Arabidopsis thaliana: one gene and its partner. The protein of the gene in region 2 interacts with the protein of the main gene of each other region in a pairwise test. Each region holds a gene or a part of one and is shown on either strand. Other genes may lie near its edges. The genes, in order: RAP2.7 and JAZ4.

Region 1 (5,397 bases), on a different chromosome or scaffold from region 2:
TAGGAAAGGGCCATTTTTGGAATATTATGAATAATAAATTTAGTTTCTTTAAGACATGACATCTTTACTGAATATTATTACATTACCCGGAACGGTAGATAGACTTAGAGATTTGATTTGACAGAACAGAAGATCGGGAATCTCTTATTTTTCTTTTAGCTTGACAATTGGCATAACAACTACACCATTTTCTTTAAGTTTTTTGTTGACTATATAACAAAAAACCAACGTAGCCCAAAAAAAAGTAGTTCGAATGTTTCGTCCTTGTTTTTAAAAAGTACTAAATTTTTACAAATATCCTAGGATCTTCGTCATTTGTGGACGTTTCGGTTTAATGACTTACCGTTAACCATTTGACTAAAAATATTTCCTAATTATTTGTTTAGTTGATATAGTTTAGAAAATACAGAGCATCTAATCTATTCCAAAAGTTTAAACCATATTATGCATGACTCACTGAATAGTTAAGTACAATACATTTCACACGTGACTATAGAATAAGCATTTAGATTTGGCACTATATCCGAATATGTATACAAATAAGAATGTAATGTTTTTGCCAAATCGTTTCGGGGTTCCGAAGAGGCAGCCAAAACCTATCACTATCTCTCTTTACTGTTCTTTTCAACAGTGTTATTTTAATCAAAATATCTTATACTATCAAACCTTCACATAAAACGACAAAACTTCATCCTCATATTTTATTTTTTGTTACAAATTGTACCTTCCAAATTTCAAGAGTCCTCTTACCAAAAAAACATATTTTCACATAAACAAACCTTATTAGGTAAAGACATTTTGAGAAGATTTAAAATTTACCACAAACATACACATTTTTTTTACCATTTAGTTGATAAAGTTTTTTCTCAACAAACCAAATTTTGATGTAAAAAAAAACACATTTTCTCATCTGAATTTGGAAAAATTGATCATTGTATGTGAAAAATCTAAAACCCAAATGACATTTTTGAAAGGGGACTAGAGTGTTGAGAGAGAGAGAGATGGTAAAAAAACTCTCATATGTCCCCTTACAAGTTAAGGGTGTGGATAAAAGTAACCACGTGTTGCATTGTCATTGGGAGGTTGTGGCCGGAAATGTGAGAATCCTGATGATGCTGCTGCAACTGAGAACAATGGTGGTGGTTGTGGTCCCGGTGGCTGCGGTCTCACGGCGCTTGTTTGCCCCGGTCTCTGCCATCCCCAGTTACTCATCATCCCTTCAGCTTCACTTCTCTTTTCTGTTGCTCTTCCCTGAAAAAACAAACATTGTTTCATTGTCTTGCGACTACATTGTGTTGTTTCACTTTGATTCTATGTTTTTACCTCGGCGGGATTATTATAACTCGGGCATGCTCCGTTCCAGTAAAGGCGATGATCCGAGGATCCATAAGGAAGAGGTGTATTCACCGGCTTTCCCATGTATTCGTTATCTATCTGCAGTTTGTTTAAAAGACGATAAGAAACGTACGTTTTGAATTCATGAGAGATTGGTATTTGAAAGTTAGTTACCCTCAAGCTAACTCCACGCTGAGTTTCATAAGTATTAGAAGGGAAGTGAAAGAGCCTCCCATTTTGCTTTGGCGCATTACCGGTCGATAAAGAGATTCCCAAGTTGAGGTCAATCTCAGAGTTATTGCTCTCAGAGTTAATCTCATTTTGGTATGAACTCATCTCGAAGTTCGTGACTGCTTCTCTACCATTAGTGTTGATTGCAGCCTTGTCATAAGCCCTGTTGTCAAGAAAATGTTTAGAAAGAAAGAAACTTCATGTTGGCTTTGATAAAAACAAAGTGAAGTTCTACTAAAGGTTTCTATCAAACAATGATCATTAAGGAACCTTGCAGCTTCTACTTCGCTGTCGAACAGCCCAAGATAAATATACCTGCAATTCAAGCATCTTAATCACCTAACCACTACTTAGACACCATTCCTAGTTTCATACCCTTTCTAAAATCAAAAAGTTCATATTAAAGAACAAAATTGCTCACTTTTTACCAAGAAACTGCCCCATCCTAGCTTCCCATCTACCACATTTGTGTAACGTAACCCCTCGATACTTCGAACTCCCCCGCGAAAACCCCGTGCTCTGTCTACGCAGTATATGCACAAACTCTTCCTTACTCAAGTTTTGTACCTAAACAAGAAGATAACACAGTTAAAAAAAAAACTACTCAAAACAATCATATAACCAAAACAAAAGACTTATATCCAAAAACCTGTTTCATATCTTCCTCATAATCACCAAGAGTAAAGTTGATATCAGCATCAACACCTCTAAATTTAATAGCAGCTCGATCATAAGCTCTACAAAAACACAAACACTAATCAAAATCCAAACCTTAACAATTCCGAAAACAAAACTTTTATCTATAATAATCCAAAAATTACCTAGCTGCAGCATGAGCAGTGTCGAAACCACCTATATAAATCAACAACCATGAATCAATAATCTTAATCATCAAAATTTTAACAAAAATTGTAATTTACCTAAATAAACTTGTTTCCCACAATCCCTACAAAACAAAAAAAAATTGAATCAATCTCACTGATAAAAATTACTAAATCGAGAAACTTGTATTATCATCAACAACAAAAAAAAAAAACTTACCAAATATGTGACTCCCATCGACCAGTTCTTCTATAAAAAGTAACTCCTCTATACTGTGAACTTCTAGACCTTGGTCCTCTCCGACTCTTTTTAACCTGAGCCGGAACCGGAGCCGGAGTCGGAACCGGAGTTACCAATTTCGTTTCTCCGTCACCAATACGGTCAAAAGAAAGATCTATCCAGTTTCTAGAGCTTGATGATCCTTCAACATCTCGTAGATGTCCACAGTCTCCACTCACCGGAAAAAACTCTTTAGTAACGGAAGCTGAAGCGGCGGGGCTTTCGTCTCCGCCGCTACTACTTCCGACTTTTAAAATATCGAAACTGAGAGTGAAAGCTCGAGTAGAGCAAGAGTCTTCGTCTCCATCGGCATTGATAACTGACGACGTCGATGTACCGGACTCTTCCACTCGATTCCCGGCGGAGTTGTCTGATGTCTGCCGATCTAAGTATGAGTCACCACCGTACTGAGTCGACTCGGGAGAATCAGCGTTGAGGTTAAGATCCAACATCTCAAGCTCTGAAAATTACAAATCTAGCGAAGGTGATGATGAAGGAATCAGTTGTTAGAGATCGTCTTCTACAGCAACAACGATTACATAATCACATAATCTCTCACGAAGAGCTCGAGATGATCGGGAGGAAGAAGAGAATGGAGAAGAATTTAGAGATTACGATGGAGGAATGGTGAGAGTAGAGAAGTTTTGTCGCCGGGAAATGTTACCGGCGGCGAGAGAGTGAGACGGATATTTTTTTTTTTTAAAGTGGAGAAGAAGATAGAAGGAGACGTGTGAGGGAACATTTCAGACCCAATTTTAGAGGATGATCATTATTTATAATAAAGTTGTTTTTCTCTCTCTGTAACTATAAATGTGTATAATAACTTTATAATAAAATTTTAACATATTGTTGTTGGTCCTTTTTTGGCAGTGGTATACCGGCTAAGTAAGTTTCCGGTTTTTTTTTTTTTTTTTTTTGCCGGTACGTACTGCTTTTGGTCAATGCTTTGGTTTTCAAAGGAGACAATACAATACATGAAATGAAACATCAACTTTTAGTTCCGACCAAAACAAGAGTAATGATCGCTGCAGTATTGTTTTTTTTAACCCATGCTTGTTACATTAGATTTTTGTAGGTGTAGTTGATTCGTTAATGTTAACAAGAGTAAAATGTGATTTGGTTCGTGTGTTACATGTTTTTTCACGTCGTTTGGTTTGGGTTTTGGGGTGACATAGTGTTGATTGCATGAGTTAATTAGGAATGTACGTTGGTGTGTTTTGAGATTGAGTGTGTGCACCAATTTGGCTTGATGGATATTGGTCCAAGTATGCCATTAGAGGATGGGATGTTGGACTTGGACATGGGCAGATGGTATTTGAGTCATAGGTCTAGGATTAGTGGATTGGTATTTTTGATTAGTGTATATGACCGAGGTGTTATTATAGTGCTAATCGTATGAGTGAACGGTTGTTGTATTAACCACTACTTATATGGTTTTGTCCGCGATGTCTTTAGCTCTTGTAGTTTCCTCGTCCTTGATTTTAATGTCCTATGATAAGCATATTGTTGTAGAATTGTGGGTGATGAGTATGACTTATGTTTGACTTTGTATGCTACCATGAGAGCATTGATCATGCCTCAGTGAAGCGGGGGATGGTGATTGATGACATAGATGATGTTGTCAAACTTTCCCGAAAATTCGCTCAGAAGATTCATCGCCAACACGTAGTCAACTACGGTAGAATCGACATTTACTAGAAAATCACATAATATAAATTTTTTTCTTGTAATTTTGCATTTAGTAATCTGCCGTTATTAATATCTTCGAAAATCAAATCTCAAAAGGTTATTATCTAGAACTTTTTTAATAAGAAAATTAAAAGTATTGTTCTTTTTAGTTATTAGTTGAATATTTGCCATTTTTGATATAGCATTTGGTATTCAGGTTATGTCGAATCATTTGACTAGTACTAGTTTTGGAAGTGAACATGTCTCTTCGTAAGAAGTAGCCCACATGCAATGTTTTCATTCATACGGTATAATTGAATCTACCATTGTAGCGTGTTGCATTTTTGTCCCGAGTATTGATACAACTATATTATCACAGCCCATATTATTATTTGATTGATGTATCCACTTTTAATAGATCTAATTATGGTTAATCGTTTCTTTTAGTTTGAGAATAGCATGAAATTTTTCCGGTCTTAAATGGTTCGGATTCAAGTTTAAACTCTGTCCATAATACATACTTACATAGACTAAAATCCAGTAAAAAAATCACACTTTTTCAGAGCATCAGATTTGATACCTTCTTTAACAAAACCACAAATATATAAAAGAATAATATATCAATTACCATTGATGTATCACCCACCACATAGCAAGATTGAGATCGAGAAATTGAGGATTTAGGGTTAATAGCATACATCTAAAACATGCGATTGCAAGCTCTCTTTCTTGGACGGCATTGTACTAACGATTGGGATTGGTCAATAAGGTATAGGTCAGTGATCCAACGGCTGGGATTTACTCAAATATAGAGAATATCTGTCTTAACGCTAATCTTAAAAAAAAGATTAGGCTTCATTTGATCAATAAGATATTATCTACGGTGTTATCCTTATTTCATAGTCTCTTACATGTGCATGAAGAACACGTGATTCTCTCATTATTTAACAACTTGTGTATTGTATATAGTTTTGTTTTCTTCTGTTTTCTCTTTCTCGTATGTATGGATTTTTATTTTATGTGGACAACGTTACTTTACATTATGTAGAGTAAAAATTACAT
Region 2 (6,072 bases):
CCACCCGTCGAAATCCTAACCCATCCAAATCTTTCGTTGTATTCAGCTTCATTGGTTTCATTTCCAAGCATTGTTTTCTAGAATCAAGATGTTCCTTGTACTTGAAACAAAAGAGTTTGAACAAATTCTTTAGCAGATCAAAGAACAACACGTATAATTAAAATGTATATAATGAAAATCACAGACCACTTGTGTTTGTAGGAACTTATACGTCTCACCGAGACCATAAGTAGTGAATCCAACTAAGTACCATAACAACGCTGACCCTCTTTTCTTCTCTGCAAAACATTTTTACACAAAGATTCAGAACCAAGATTCAGAACTTAATCACAAATTAGACGAGAGAGAGCATGTGCAAGATACTTGCGGGTGGTGGAGCTGAAGAAAGCAATTGGCTCTCAAGATTGGAAGTTTGTGAAGCAGCAGGGAGATTGCTAGTAGTAGAAGAAGACATGTACTGACTTTGAGAAATCAACCTCTTAAATATCTTGGAAACGAGTTTTGTCATCTTTTTCTCCTCCAGGATCTTCTCTTTGTCTCATCCAAGATTCTTGATCTACTATATATGGCGACGACGACGAGGACTGATTAAGTATATAAACTAATGTTTTATTTTCTGATATAGCACATGGCACCAACTAATTAAATGACTTTCATCTGCTGGTGGAAATATTTTATATCAATTATCGAAAAAAAAGTATAAACATAAAGTTGACTTCAACAAAATCTAGAAGAGCTTGAATAGTCTTACTTTTATGTTTTTTATACACATGCAAGAGTAAAGACAAAACATACAGTATCCAAATTAAATTTATAGGATATATATAAATAACTTGCTTTTACAAGCCCAGTGTACTAAAATCTGAATAAACAAAAGCTATAACAACTATACTATAGTCTATAGGATACAGAGCCAGAGAAAAAAGAAAAAGCCTTTAGAACAATGAGGGGTCTAAATTGGTTTTAGTGCAGATGATGAGCTGGAGGACAGCTTACACATTCAGACATCAGTGTTCTACAGTCTATTGATGACTTGTTGTCTACGTAATAAGGTGATACGTTAATGACCCTGCAAGAAAACGAAGCCAATATACAGCAAACCTGTGTTTTGATATTGTGAATAAGTGAATAATCTTGTAGCTCAGTACCTTTCTTTGCGTTTCTCTAAGAACCGAGCCAAGGATGCTTTGCGTGTTTGTGGTAAACCCACTGTATTAAATCATAGCAAGATTTTTTGGTTATAACAAACTAAACCTAAGATAGAAGTTTGATGACAAAACATTAATAGGAGTTAAGACTTCATTTATAACCTGTTGGAGCCATAGAGAAGGCAGCAGTTTGGTTGTTGCGCGTGGATGCTAAACTCGCCTTTGTTTTTGTTGGTCCAAGTCCAGTAACCCCGTTGGATCCACTACTTCTGGTTTCAGAGACAATGTAAGAGATGGAAGGCAGGAAACTAGGAGGCATAGTTGGAGGATCAGTGGTTGGAAGAGAGTGATGAACCAGTTTTTGAGGTTTAGGTTGTGAAACCGGTTTAGCATGAGGTCCATTTCCGGCTAGCAACATGATAGCTTGGGCCTATGAATACAAAATAAATGAAGAAGTAAGGACAAAGATTTATCATATCTATGAATCATTAACATACTGTATGTTGAAACCAGGTTAGTAACTTTCTATAACTTCAGCATGTCTATACGTGAAACTTATTTCTTTGATTGAATACTTAGTCAGTGGATAGCTTGGACTGTAATGTAACACATATTGAAGGAAATTTGGTTACCTTTTCAGGAGCTATGTCTTGGTAAACTAATACTGAACCGGCATAAAAGATTGTCAACTGAGGGGGAAGTGGTTTTGAAGAAGATCTGGAGATGAACATAAAGGAGCTCGAGTCAACTATAGAAGTAAAGAGGTTCTGTATCTGATGTTAAACAGAAGAAGATAGAATGCAGTGCATGCCTAATAGTGGTTGGAGCAGGAAATACTGAAACTGGAGGTGCCATGATAGGAGATCCTCCTAAATGTTGGTGGTTTATGAAACTGTTGATGTAGTTTGGTTCGGACATGGAGACTGTGATGGTTGTTTGGTCTTGCTGACTGGAACCTGGGAACACTCTGTCTTCCTGAGATCATTTTGTATCAATTTTGAGACCAGAAGAAACTAAACCAATTGCCAAGCTTTCTTACAAGGTCACTAAATCACACTTTATCACTACTTTTTTTCTTTTCAAGAAATAGCCTAACCTGTAGTGAGCTGAAGTAAGTTCTCTGGTTTTGATCCATTGCAGCAGAAGAAAGCAAATGATCATTGACTGTGTTTACACGCGTTTCTTGTTGGGATGTCCCAAAAGAAAGAAACTGAGGACCAGAACCGACTTTGCTTGAGAATGACCAATCCATCATACCTCTACTTGGGGCTGAAACATGAGCAAATGTCTTTAGATTTTATCAAACTAGGAAACACTCAGATCTAGCTATGCTAAAGTGGACGACTCTTAACATTAGATTCATCAACAATGAACAAATCTGCATAAAGCCAAACACACTGGGGAAAATAGTGATCATACAAATACTTTCAAGAAATGGCACGTTTCGGAATATAAAAAGACAAGAACTAACTATTAAATTCCTCGTGGGTAAGTAAATTATTCATCCAAATTGTAACTTGATCTAAATTTAATACCCAACATGATCCTAACTTAATCAATGAGTCTACTTGGATAGAAATAAAACTTAATCAAGTCACAATCAATCTTGCTTTTATATAATTCAACTTGCATTTGTTGTTAAATCTCTAATCGTCAGCCGGTCGCTATATAACGCATTCTTTTCCCAACATTTCACGTCTTCGTTTTTAAATAATACTGATAGAATTCAAGTTGCTTAATAAACCTTAAAAAATGGCATAAACTTTTCAAAAAGAATAACCAGCCAATGTTCTAATTCTCAATATTCAATCCGGCTTTGAAAAAAACAATCTTTTCTAAAGAAGATACTATTGTATTGAAACCAATTGATCAATTTTGTAAGCAACAAAAAAAATATAGCATTTTTGTTCTGTCGGTGTCGGCTGTTTGAAGAAAAAAACGAAATTATTTTGAAAACACTCAACATTACCAACAGCTTTAGAAACATGCATCACCTAGTCACCTAGAAAATCAAGTTTGTTCTCTGAATATTATTTTTCAAAGATAATACTAACACTTGTTAAATTACTAACGTCAACAAGTTTGGTGTTTGCTTGTATAGTTGTATACTTGTACATTTGTAGTTTGCAAAAAATATTTAATGAAAAAAACTTCAAAAGTAGATCGTGAACGTATGAATTTTCTAACTATCGAGTCCCAAAACGTGTTTTTTCATCGGCTACGTCAAACAAATTCGAGTAGCTAAATTTCTGTCTATAGTACTAAAACCTAATTTCTTAAATATATATCAAGAAAAAAGAAACCCTAATTTATTTTTTCTCTTCCCGAGAAAACGAAGAAAAAATTTCTTGTTCAAGAAAAAACCAGACAGTAGGACTCCCAATCAAGCTAGAAAAACAATATATATGTACTTGAACAATAAACAAAAAAAGAGATTACAAAAATAGAAACAAAAAAAAGTGAGATGAAAAACACAATCATCAGATCATAATGGAAGATGTTGAAGATGAATTACCTGAATCTTCGTTAGTTTCCTCCTTCACAGTTATCGGAGATAACTTTGATCCCAGCCCGAGAAAATCTCTCTCCATCAGGCTTATCAATCGTTGAGAATACAAAAACGGTTTAGCTTTCGCGGGGGAGAAAAAAAATGTCACCGGAGAAGAGAAGAAATGAGAGATCAGAGAGAATTAGTAACAATTGAAGGACTTTGGAGAGAAATGAAAAACGTGAGTTGAAGTTACACACACCGCCGATTTATGATTCCTCTAATGATGTATACATATATTTTTTTAATATAAATCATCCGATGCGGTATGTGTATATCCCACGTCTGCTTTCCTGTTCCGGAATAAACTTCCAATATTAGAAATTCAATCATCGGATATAAATATATATATTTATTTTTATTTTGAACAACTTGGATATAAATATATAAATATATAAATATGTCGTTAATATCAAACTTAAAATAATGTTTTACATTATTTATTTTTATATTTAAAGCTGATAAGCATTATAATAAGAACCCTTATTCTCAAGTTAAAAGAGAGCAATTATTTGTAGTGCATTGAGTCATTGACTCATTCATTCTACACAACAAAACATGGTAATAATGTGGTTGAGAAGAGCTTTCACCGTCGTCTCGATCCCTCTTCATACAAAGTTTGAATTCTTGCTTTGGGTCATGCAGTGCCTCATTATTGATTTATCTTTGATTAATGTTTTTTTTAGATAAGAATTAACCTATAGATCGTAGCCATCCCGGATGAATGGCCTTCTTTTTTATAGAGATTGATGGTTTTTCTCGTTTAAAGTTTTTTTTGGTATGCTCATGTCCTTGTTAAAAAGGCTAGATTTCATTTGTTAAAATCTAGCATTTATGCTTCGTATTGGTTCTCCCATACGGAGAACTTCCTCTTTTACTGTTGTTAGATTTCGTTTGTTAATATATCAAAGTATTTTTGTTTTTGGATAAACCCTAAGAGTTCCTAAGAAAGAGGTTATTTTCGGAACTGTAAGAGTTAATAGTCATGAGGTTAAATTACAAGTACATGTACACTGCTGAGCTCCCATGTTCATACCAAGTTCGAGTGTATGGAGCTTACCCTTGGCATTATGAATTTATGAGCAAGCTGCAAAACTTGCCACATAGAACCAGAGCCAGACCAAAAAAATATAAGGCTCCATACGAATTATGGAAAAAACAATTCTTCTTGAGATTATATAAGTCATTACCATATAATATTTTTAAAATTAAAAATTAAAGTTTATAAATATATTCTAATAAGCTGATTTTATATAGGTTCCAGATTTTAAAAAGAAAAAACATAACAAAAAGAGAACGTTGAACACAAGTTTTAGCAAAGTTGTCGATAGAGGGACACAATGAGATATGGTTCCCATACGTTACTCCAAAGTATCCCTTTTTACTTGGTTGGTTGTGAAAAACAGAATTTGAGTAGAGAGACAATGAGAAAGTGGTATGTAATGTAGATTCGAGTTGCATTTTTTGCAATGAACAGGTAGAGAGACGAAGGAACACTTATTTTTCCACTGCGCCTACTCAAAAAAGATATGGGAAGACTTAACAAGGGGAATTCTCTCGGACAGATATTCGGCGAGTTGGACAGAGGTTATGAAAACTTTATCTAAAAACCTTCTATACAAAACGAAGAGCTACATACTTAGGTATGCACTACAGACAGAACTCTATACACTCAATTTGGAATGAACAAAATAGGAGGAGGCATCAGGCATGGGGAGCAATCATCACCGACGGAAATACTTGTGAAGATTATAGACAAGAATCTTAGAAACCGTTTGAGCACAATTCAAGGTAGTGGAGGATTGAAGTTCAAAGATGGCATCCAAGTTTGGTTTAAAACTTTGAATCAAGGCAATAGATAATAGACAATTAGAAGTTCCTTTTCTTTAAAAAAACTCTCAAAACAATTAGCATTTCATATGTAACAAGTTTATTTTTCTTTTTAATATAATTTAACATTAAATTCAAAAAGAAAAAGTTTTAACATATTTTTATTATAAAAATCTGAATTAATTTAGTAAGAAATAAATAAAAATACTTGTTATTCGAAAAATCTGAATTAGTTTAATTAGAAGTAAATAATTACAAAAATTATCTATTAGGTCCATATCAAATAATTTATATAGATATTATCTTCTAACATTAAATATAACTATAACTATTCAAATTTGTATCTAACAATTATTACTTTAGTGGGTGCAAATATATCAAATTCCAGCAGTGTTGAAAATTTGTTAGATTTCTTTATTCATATATAAATAATAATATGCCCAAAAGTTTCTAATATTAATTAAAGCTAAATTTTCGAAAGAAAAAAAAATGTTATTTGACTGCAACGATAATGAAAAATTAAAAATTAGTTGGATTGATTAACTC

Evidence for each region.
Region 1: the proteins of JAZ4 (region 2) and RAP2.7 interact in a two-hybrid assay, tested with the Arabidopsis thaliana proteins (one study listed by BioGRID).

What each region holds. Positions count from the first base shown.
Region 1 is NC_003071.7:12,225,133-12,230,529, forward strand, and holds RAP2.7 (uncharacterized protein), read right to left. Parts: upstream 3,493-5,397; 5' UTR 3,120-3,492; coding exon 2,608-3,119; intron 2,513-2,607; coding exon 2,487-2,512; exon of another isoform or gene 2,459-2,486; coding exon of another isoform or gene 2,419-2,458; coding exon 2,388-2,418; intron 2,304-2,387; coding exon 2,216-2,303; intron 2,134-2,215; coding exon 1,988-2,133; coding exon of another isoform or gene 1,984-1,987; exon of another isoform or gene 1,882-1,983; coding exon 1,837-1,881; coding exon of another isoform or gene 1,730-1,836; coding exon 1,510-1,729; intron 1,435-1,509; coding exon 1,324-1,434; exon of another isoform or gene 1,252-1,323; coding exon 1,036-1,251; 3' UTR 524-1,035; downstream 1-523.
Region 2 is NC_003070.9:17,929,325-17,935,396, reverse strand, and holds JAZ4 (jasmonate-zim-domain protein 4), read right to left. Parts: upstream 4,008-6,072; 5' UTR 3,740-4,007; coding exon 3,664-3,739; intron 2,798-3,663; exon of another isoform or gene 2,418-2,797; coding exon 2,245-2,417; intron 2,124-2,244; coding exon 1,960-2,123; intron 1,866-1,959; coding exon 1,781-1,865; intron 1,579-1,780; coding exon 1,311-1,578; intron 1,210-1,310; coding exon 1,149-1,209; coding exon of another isoform or gene 1,142-1,148; exon of another isoform or gene 1,070-1,141; coding exon 964-1,069; 3' UTR 735-963; downstream 1-734. Other genes in the region: AT1G48510 (Surfeit locus 1 cytochrome c oxidase biogenesis protein), read right to left, coding at 1-100, 187-278, 364-508. UniProt on the Arabidopsis thaliana protein: Repressor of jasmonate responses. Interacts with and suppresses RHD6 and RSL1 transcription factor activities to negatively regulate jasmonate-stimulated root hair development.